2 linked regions of the Xenopus tropicalis genome follow. The protein of the gene in region 1 purifies or fractionates together with the protein of each later gene. This does not show direct contact. Links are inferred from orthologs where the notes say so. Each region holds a gene or a part of one and is shown on either strand. Other genes may lie near its edges.

The links. The genes of interacting proteins can lie anywhere in the genome.
Region 2: the proteins of l3mbtl3 (region 1) and samd13 purify together in Homo sapiens (affinity purification with mass spectrometry; 3 studies listed by BioGRID and IntAct, counting the BioPlex papers as one, with this or other methods). This does not show direct contact. The link is inferred for Xenopus tropicalis from reciprocal best matches to the Homo sapiens genes L3MBTL3 and SAMD13.

What each region holds. Positions count from the first base shown.
Region 1 is NC_030678.2:83,383,916-83,388,990, forward strand, and holds the start of l3mbtl3 (lethal(3)malignant brain tumor-like protein 3), read left to right. Parts: upstream 1-1,835; 5' UTR 1,836-1,872; coding exon 1,873-1,937; intron 1,938-5,075. UniProt on the Homo sapiens protein: Is a negative regulator of Notch target genes expression, required for RBPJ-mediated transcriptional repression. It recruits KDM1A to Notch-responsive elements and promotes KDM1A-mediated H3K4me demethylation.
Region 2 is NC_030680.2:77,728,384-77,732,973, forward strand, and holds part of samd13 (sterile alpha motif domain-containing protein 13), read right to left. Parts: intron 3,438-4,590; coding exon 3,326-3,437; intron 2,128-3,325; coding exon 1,984-2,127; 3' UTR 1-1,983.

The sequences.
Region 1 (5,075 bases):
GGAAACAAAAATTTGTTTTTCGTATTTTGCGCGACTATTTTGTCGGCGTCACGCTTTTTTTGTATTGAGCTATAGTAAACGGCGGAAAAACCAATCCGATTTTTTCGCTACGGCGATGAAAAAGTTGCGGAAAATATATGAAAAAGTTGCGACGGCGACGAAAAAGTCGCAATAATACTGATCATTACAGAAAAACCGCATTCGGACGCCTTCGGACCGTTCATGGATTAGTAAATCTCCCCCTTAGTGTGGCACACACAGACACGCAATGCTAAGTGAACTTCTCTCCTTTTTATCTGCTTTCAGGTGTGATTTTTATATTGCCCACACCTGTTACTTGCCCCAGGTGAGTTTAAAGAAGCATCACATGTTTGAAACAATCTTATTTATCCACAATTTTGAAAGGGTGCCAATAATTTTGTCCAGCCCATTTTTGGAGTTTTGTGTGACATTATGTCCAATTTGCTTTTTTTCCTCCCTTTTTTGTTCTGTTCCAATACACACAAAGGGAATAAACATATGTATAGCAAAACATCTGTTACTGCAATACTTTTCTGTGAGAAATACTTTCTGGGGTGCCAACAATTTTGACCATGACTGTATAGCTGCTGTTTAAAGGAACAGTAACACCAAAAAAATTATAAATTTAAAAAAAACTAAACTATAATGTACTGCTGCCCTGCACTGGTAAAAGTTTTGTGCTTGCTTCAGAAACATAACTAGAGTTTATATAAACACTGGTGTGTAGCCATGGGGGCAGCCATTCAAAAGAAGAAAAGGCACAGGTTATATAGCAGCTAACAGATAAACCCTGTAGAATACAATGGTGTCTTATCTGTTATCTGCTATGTAACCTGTGCCTTTTCTCCTTTTTTCCAGCTTGAATGGCTGCCCTCATGGCTACACATCAGCTTATTTATATAAACTATAGTAGTGTTCCTGAAGCAAACACCCCAGTTTTACCAGTGCAGGGCAACAGTACGTTATGTTTCAATTACTTTAAAACACTTTCATTTTTTGGTGTTACTGTTACTTTAAAGCAGTGTCTGCCTGTCCTTTCTACTCTCTGCCCTGGTGGCTCTGGGGTTTGAAACAATGTAACACAAGGCAGCAGACTGACAGACCTGCCTTGCTGGAGGAGCCTGACCTACATTGTTTAAAAAGTCATAACCAGGGGTTCAGCAAATGCTGCTTTCTATAGCAATTACAAATTACTTTTAAAGCTCTAAAATGTTTAATAAATGCATATTGGAAAGTTGCTTATAGTTATGTTTTCTTTTATTAGGCAAAACATTATTTTTGGTTTTGACATGTCCTTTAAATTAACCACAAAGTTAATTTGCTGGGTGATTATTTTCAGAAATACTGTTTTCCCCTAGTATACATATTTTATCAACCTAGACTCATGTTTTTTTTGTTCTTCAATGCTATGCTTTATTATGTAGCTGTACAAAGCACTGGAATGCCACGCATTAGCCACCATAGCCGGGCAGTCACGGATAAACCACTCCTCTTAATCGAACGCAATTCGGTGGCAGCTATTTATTTTACTTTTGCGCCCCCTGTAGGCGAGCTTTTTAGTTAATGCCAGTCTCCATAATAAATGTGGTTACATTTCTCTTGAAAACTCAATTTCTCAATAATGCTCAGAACTTTGGAGTTACCACATAGGGCTACTATATTATCCTTATCATACCAAATTTATAATCATTCAGACTGCAACTAATAAAACAGAACTCCTAATTGCCCCACTCTTTGCCCCTTAAATTACCCTGCTTGATTGGCGGGGGGCAGTGGGTGGGAATGTGCTGTGTTACCGTAGCAACAAAGAGAGGCGGTGTGAATTTAGGATCTGCCCCCTGACGCCATCTTATGGTGGAAGAGGTGGCTCCGGGAGAGAGAAGAGTGGTGAGAAGTGATGGTCTGCATAGTGAGAGGGGAGTTTTGCCGTGTGTGGGGTAGTGTTGCTTTGCAAACGGGGAAATGAGGGAATAGCTGCAGCCAGAGGAATAGAGAGCCGTGATATTGCAGGAAACTGTGTGTGATGCTTATTAGAGAGCTAGCAGTACAGTGACGGATCAGTATCCGGCAGGCAAGCTGCACCCCAGCACTCCTAACCTGCTGCACACTGTCCTGACTTACCGCAGCAATCCCCCCTCCCTCCTATTACAGAATGTTTCAGGACTTTAATCATCTCCAGGTTGATCAGTTTAACACAATAAACTGCTCCAGGATTGCCAGAAAACTGGCTGAGGAGTATGGAGTATTATATATTGAGAAAGGGGTGCACATAATAAGAATTATTGTTCCCTGCAATACTAGCATAGAAAATTAGCAGTCTATATAAACTATATAACTAGATTTTAAAAATGCTTTCAGAGAAAACCTTCCATGCAAACTTGCAGCAACTTTACTATTAGTTTTAGGTAGTAACATTAACTACACTTTTACACATTCCTAAAATAAGCCATAAATGCTGTAGTCTTATATTAGGAGTATATCTCTGCTTTACTTGTGTCTTGACTGGAATGGAAGGGTTTGCCACCGCACACCTCTTTAAATATCCAACTATGGGAATGCATGCTGAATGCATCAAAACAAATATATTTCATTTTGAGATGTTAACATACTTTTCACTAATTTAGGAAGCTTAACACAGTAGCCTAGCTGGACATCAGGTGTTGGGATTGCATACTAGCCACTACAGCACCTTGTTAGTGAAGATCTGTGCCCCCCAAAGATGCCCTTGTAGCTCCCCATTTTTTTCAGCTGTTTTGCACCATGCAATCTGTACAGCTGTCAGTTACTGGCTCTTAGGGACCAACTCTCAATATACAGTAGAAGTCACTGTACAAGGCTGTGTAATTCATATTAATATATGAAATTCACAAACTGAAATTACTTATCTGAACTGCCCATATATAATTTTCTTTTTTTTTTTTTTTAATAATCCAGGAAATACACAGTAGTGTGCCTGTGGCTCACAGGGACCATTTCCCCATCCCCCTAAGGCTGGCAGATTCATATAACCCCTCCCTTATCTTTTTCCATATAAAGGTGATACATTCTGGGGCTTGAAGTCCCTGTGCTTCCATGGTGGGAGGTGCATAAATTCTCTGAGGAGTTCCTCTGAGAGGAACTTCACGTCTCTGGATAATATCACATGACAAAAGATCAAGGAGCGGTTGTATGGATAGTGAAAAATAATCCCTGTTAATTAGAAGCAGAGAAGCAGATGATTATGTATTATTCTCAATCTGAGGAATACTGTTAAGTGTTTATCCTTGTTTTTTTACATAAACCCAACTGACCCTATGTCAGAAAGGGGATATATATCAGTCCTGATGGTGTCTGCACTCCAAGGCTTTAGTATTCTGTGGGGTGCACAGCCAAAATCTGAGTATTTAGCATGAAATAATCCATGGCCGGCACACCCTTAAAATTCAAAAAAATTTTTTTATTGAAAACTCATTGTTTAAAAACCTGGTTTTTTTTTGAATTTTAAGGGTGTGCCGGCCATGGATTATTTCATGATATATATATATATATATATATATAGATATATATATATAAAATATTAGTATGTAATATGTTATATATGTAATTAATTTTAACTGGATACAATTAAGGTTTTGTCAATGATTCCTATATATGACCAAAAGATTTTAAATGCTTGTTATAATGTGCTGTGAGTGACTAATTATTAATATTAACACATATTTATAAAGCACCAATATGTAGCCCTATAAACTAATAATAAGTATGTATGGATTAAACATACAAATTTACATACAGAAACAACCAATAACTAATGCAAGAGGTAAAGCATTGTCCAAATGAGTTTATAATCTGAAAATCTTGTTTAAATGTTTTCCTTGGTATATTTATTATTTTTTTCAATATTTAATTCCTGGTATTCCTGGCAGCACATTTCCACAGCATATACACCATACTCACACACACACACACACACACACATACATACGTACAGTGATGCTTGGAAGTTTGTGAATTTGATCTAAAACATCATCTGATCTTCAAACAAGTCCTAAAAGTAATAAGAAAACCTAGTGTAACAAATGAAACAAAAATTATTATATTTGGTCATGTATTTATTGAAAAAAAAATGATCCAATAACATATCTGCATGTAGCAACAATAAGTGTATCTTTAGGATTATCATATCATTTGAAGGTGAATTCAGTCTGGTGTTTTCAGTCAATGGGATGACAATCAGGTGTGAGTTAGAGACCCTGTTTTATATAAAATAAAAAGGGGGTACCAGCAAAGCCTGATCACACATACAACACATTTGTGGATGTGTATCATAGCTCAACAAGGTGTCTAAGGACCTCAAAAAAAAGAGTTGTTGATGCCCATAAAGCTGGAAAAGATTACATGATCTCAAAAGAGTTTGGACTCCACCAATCAACAGTCAGACAGATGGTATACAAATGGAGGAAATTTAAGACTGTTGTTACCCTACCCAGAAGTGGTTGACCATCAAAAATAACTCCATCTGGAAGGTGTCTTATAGTCCGAGAAGTTACAAAGGAAACCAGGGAAGCGCCGGAACTAGGGGTAAGCAGAAGAAGCACCTGCCTAGGGTGCAACAATGGGTGTGCCAGGCAGGTACCTCTCCTGCCTACTCCTACTCTGCGCTCCCTTGTCTTTGCCCCCACCACTTGTTATTACATGATGGGGGCAAATGAGAAGGATACTGGAAGAATGTTTTGGGGATGGATAAAGCCAAAATAGAACTTTTTTACTTAAATGAGGAGAGTTACATTTGGAGAAAGTAAAACACTGCATTCCAGCATAAGTACCTTTTCCCATCTGTGAAATGTGGTTGTGGGAGTGTTCTGGTTTGGGCTGGTTTTGCTGCATCTGGGCCAGGACAGGTTGCCATTATTAGTGGAATAATGAATTTTGAACTATACCGGAGAGTTCTAAAGAAAAAAGTCAAGATATCTGTCCATGAACTGAATCTCAGTGGTTCATACAGCACAACAACTAATACTAAACACACAAGTCATTCTATGAAAGAATGGTTAAAGAAGAATAAAGTGAATGTT
Region 2 (4,590 bases), on another chromosome or scaffold:
TGTTACTAATACTGTTATTGGGTCTCAAAATCTATATACTGTATATTCTTTTATTTCTGTCTGAAAGAAAAAATTCAGAGTACCCTGATTTGTACTTGTACAAACCTGCTTTGTAAAATACCAGTTTTCTCAGGCTGCAAGTAATCAAAAAGTTGTAGAACTTGAGATATTGGTCATCACTGGCAGGTTTGTATCTGTGTTATAGAACTCAATAGGCTATATATTATGAGCTAAGGCCACATGGGGCTCTTTCTCAGTCTGTATAAAAGCGCAAGCTGAGAAACAGCCCCTCCTATTGTAACCATGTCCTCCTGTGTCTGCACTCAGAATCACTGCATCAGCCTCGATTCAGACACACAAAGCATATTTCAGTGCAAAAATGTATCACGTTTTGGTGCAAAAAAATTCACTCTGCGTGTCTGAATCCAGGGCAACACGGTGGCTCTGGGTGCAAAGGGGACTGCTGATGCCAGTGGATCAGCTGATTCCTGGCCTCCATATAAACACAGGCTTAAAATCAGCACTGGTGGCATAAGCCTAACCCTATCAACAGGAAATGGTTGATTCTAGGAGACTTGGAGACAAAGGTTTATAGGAGCATGAAACCAGAAATGTGCATTGATCAGTCCTATTTTTTTTTGTGAGTTCTATATGGTGGCCTGTAACTTATTTTAAGGAAATATTTGATTTTTTTGGAAATTTTTATTTCTGTGGAAATATTTTAAATGTGCCTAACTGAGTACAACTACAAATATCATTTCTGCCCCTGCCACCTCACACTAACTCACGGCCTTCGCCGGGAAGCTCCAGGCACAGCAGTACTGCTGGTTCTTGAATAAAACACTGTATCAGGGTGTTTTGATATAATGGCAGAGCTGGATCTACTATAGAAGAAGGATGCTGTATTTTTATTTTTAGCTGCACCTATCATTGTCCATGTCCTGAACCCCAACATAATGACTGGTATTTGTGCACAGCCCAATGTTTAATGCACAAAAGAGAATAAGCAGCAATAAAAGTAATATTAAGTCTCCAGCACAAAAATACATATATTCTATTTCCTTTTAGCAGTGCCAAACGATCAGTAAGGCTGCCAGGAATGATCAATGTAAACACATAAAAATATATTTTGCATTAATGATTGTCATCTTAAGAATGATATGTATTTGAATGATTCCTCAAATATATATGTATATGCAGAGCTTCAGTAATTGTTAAACTGCTGATTCTAGATCTGCAGTTTAGTGCTGGAGAAGTTCCAGTTGATAGAGGACTCCACAGATGTTGAACCCCACAATGCATAGCAAAGCCTTGGGCAGGGCAATGTGGTTCAGGACATACTGGTTAGTGAACAGAAACCCAACAGACAACTTGGCTAGCAACATCTTCTGATGCCTATACAGTCAGTTCATCACTTACTTCAAAATGCTGTGGAAATGATAACACTTTGAGCCATCAAATAGTTTACCAAATAAAAACACTGGCTTGCAGGAGATGATAGGACTTGTAACATTTAACCAGCCACATGCTGTTAGCACTTGGATCAAACTGAAATTTCAATGCACGTCTCAAGCAGTATTGACTAGAATCACATTTACACAGTATTAAGTGTGTCTTCCTGTAACTCGAGTTGCCATTGTTTCTGACAGACCTAAACATACGGCAAAGGAAATATTGGAGCAAAATCTAGAAAAATGTTCATTGTTTTAAATCAATAGTCCTTTAACATTCAAGCAGTTCAATGTTTTCTATAAAACACTGGAGATTTCTAGAGAATCATCAACTATTTTCATTGCCTTTTCCTCAAGTCAGCAGAAAAATGCCAGTGTACTTCCCTCTGAAAACTATCCGGGAAGTTCCAAAATATTTCTGCACGCACAGCTTGTCAGTTTCTCTTTCAGTTCCTAAATCAAGTATTTGTCTGGGTGGAGGTTCATATTTGGTTAGGAGGTGGCTATATTCTACACTCCATTTGCTTCATTCTTATGAAGAGCTGCTCTTTAAATGTTGGGTCTGCAAAGGCTTCACGTGGTACTCATAGATTTTGAGTGCAGGGCCTAATTTTAATGAAAGTCCAGTCAAAACATCATTTCTTGTCATAAGCAGTAACGACTTTCCATCAATCTCCTTTAAAACAAAGAAATAGAAAGTACAGTCATTATTTTTGCTTGCCATTTAATCAAAACCTATTTGCTATTGATAAAGAATCCTTATAATCAATCCCAAATCAATGAAACAACTATAAAATCACCATCTCTAAAACAGCATGTGTGAAGAAAATCGGAATTTGCAGAAAAAGTGCTAATTTCTTCCTTTGGGGCAATTTTTCAAAGGAAGCCACTACAACATGCATTTCATCTATTTACATAGCATGTTTCCTAAAGAAAAAAACTGGGATAGTGTCTGTTTGTTAAAGGAGAAGGAAAGATAAAAACTAAGTCTAGGTAAATACAGCCATAAGCACTTACAGAGTCCTCTATTTAAAAGAAACACAGGATTTCTTGTCTCTTTTTTTTGTAAACATGATGTTTCAATGTCTGACTTCCTCTCTCAGAAACACCCTTAATTCCAGTGGCCAGAGTCTGCGCAGCTCTCTCGTCTCTGCTGCTCCCCCCTCCCACCAGAACGCTAAGAACTCCCTCCCCCCTCCCTTAGGAATGTGTGATCTCAGATATAACGGCTAGACTACAGTAAGGAAGCTACTTAAAATGGCTGCTGCTGTCTTAAGCTGTTTACTTAGGTATAGTAATGGTTCCTGCAGAATAAATATATTGTTCTAGGTGGCACTAATGTGGCAAATCTATTGGCAGTAAAATGGCAAAATGACTTTCCTTCTCCTTTAAGCCTTGACTTAATACAGAGATTTTGTATTGTAAATTGCAATAAGAAACAGACATGAAAGGAAGATGAAGTCCTTACATCTTTCTTTCTGTTACATGGCATTAGAGCCCTAATATTAGTCTGAGCCAAGGTACAGTATACATTGCAAAGTGCTGCTGTATGCTTGATTGTCACTCTTATGGGACTTTTAGAATCTATGGGTAAAAGAGTAGCACTGTGGCTATGATACAATTGCATTCTGAGAATTTAGCTCTGTTGCTAGCTATGTTGTTAAGTCCTGCAGTAAAACCCTCCTCCACTTGTGAACTGCCCAACACTACTCCACTTAGTGGGAAAATGTACAATGTCCAGCTGAAGCTGAAGTGTACATTCTGATTGACGGGTCGCTAGGCAAAGCATCTAAAGAGGTGCAGAATCCTTTTAGAAACTATATGCAGTAGAGCCACATGAGAACATCAAGTTGTAAGGAGTCCTTTCCATGTACCTGTTCCTTAAATGCACTAGCTTGTTCTTCAAATCCTGCAGTTTTGAAATAATTTACAACATCATCCACAGCCCAGTGAGCTGGATCAGGCGGTCTCCCATTCTCCACTGAGCTGTAATGCATAAAGGCAGAAAAAGAATATAATAGAAACATCATTTATAAAAGTGAGAAGGTTAAATGCATTTATTTTAACTGTATAAAAATAAATCACATTACTTTGTCAGATGGATTTATATATAGAAGTTGAAATTAATTTCTACGATCACTTCCAAATTTACTTCTTTATTGCCAGACATGAATCTGGTCAGGTTGGAATTGTACTCATACTCACAACTTTATTTATGTGTAAAGTTGTTTTAAGGACTAAAGCACATGAAACACTTTAATCAGTGCCAGGTATGAATGCCAGCTAGAACTAACTGAATGAGTTATTACAGTGCAAATATGCCCACATATGCCTTATTGCCATGGCATAAGGTAATGGGAATGTACCACTGTGGAAGTGCTAAAGTTGACAGGAACAACATAAGACGTTTGTGTTGCTAACTGGATGCCAAGCAGAGGTAGGAGTAAAAGTAGATGCATTAACGACATTGGTGAGAATTCATTCTCTTTGTTGAGGAGATGTATTCCAGATTCCTGTGGGTCCCCTATAGTGCCAGGCTCAATGAATCCCTGTTGAAGCTATTCTTCAAGGACAAATTTGGAGGCTAATATTGTATTTTCCCTTTGGCACACAGACAGACAGAGTTTCTTCGGAAAATAAGCACAAAGGTGTAAATGACCTTGGAGTTCAAAAAACTTGGAAAAAAGTATTGTGGTAAGTACTGTATATACTTGAGTATAAGCCGATCTGAATATAAGATGTGGTACCTAATATTACCTAAGAAAACTGGAAAAACTTATTGACTCGAGAATAAGCCTAGGGTGGGAAATGCAGCAGCTACTGCTAAGTTTCAATAATCAAAATAAATACCAATAAAATTACATTAATTGAGGCATTAGTGGGATATATGTTTTTAAATATTTGTTTCAAAGAAAAACAGTAAACTAGCTCTGTAAGCGGAGAAGAGGGTCAACAAAACCAATATGGTATCAACCCCCTTAGCTCAATCAGCAACCAAGCTAAAACACAAAGTTAAAATCAAAACGATATATACAGTCATGGCCAAAATTGTTGGCACCCCAGAAAATCAAGTATTTCTCACAGAAAAGTATTGCAGTAACACATGTTTTGCTATACACATGTTTATTCCCTTTGTGTG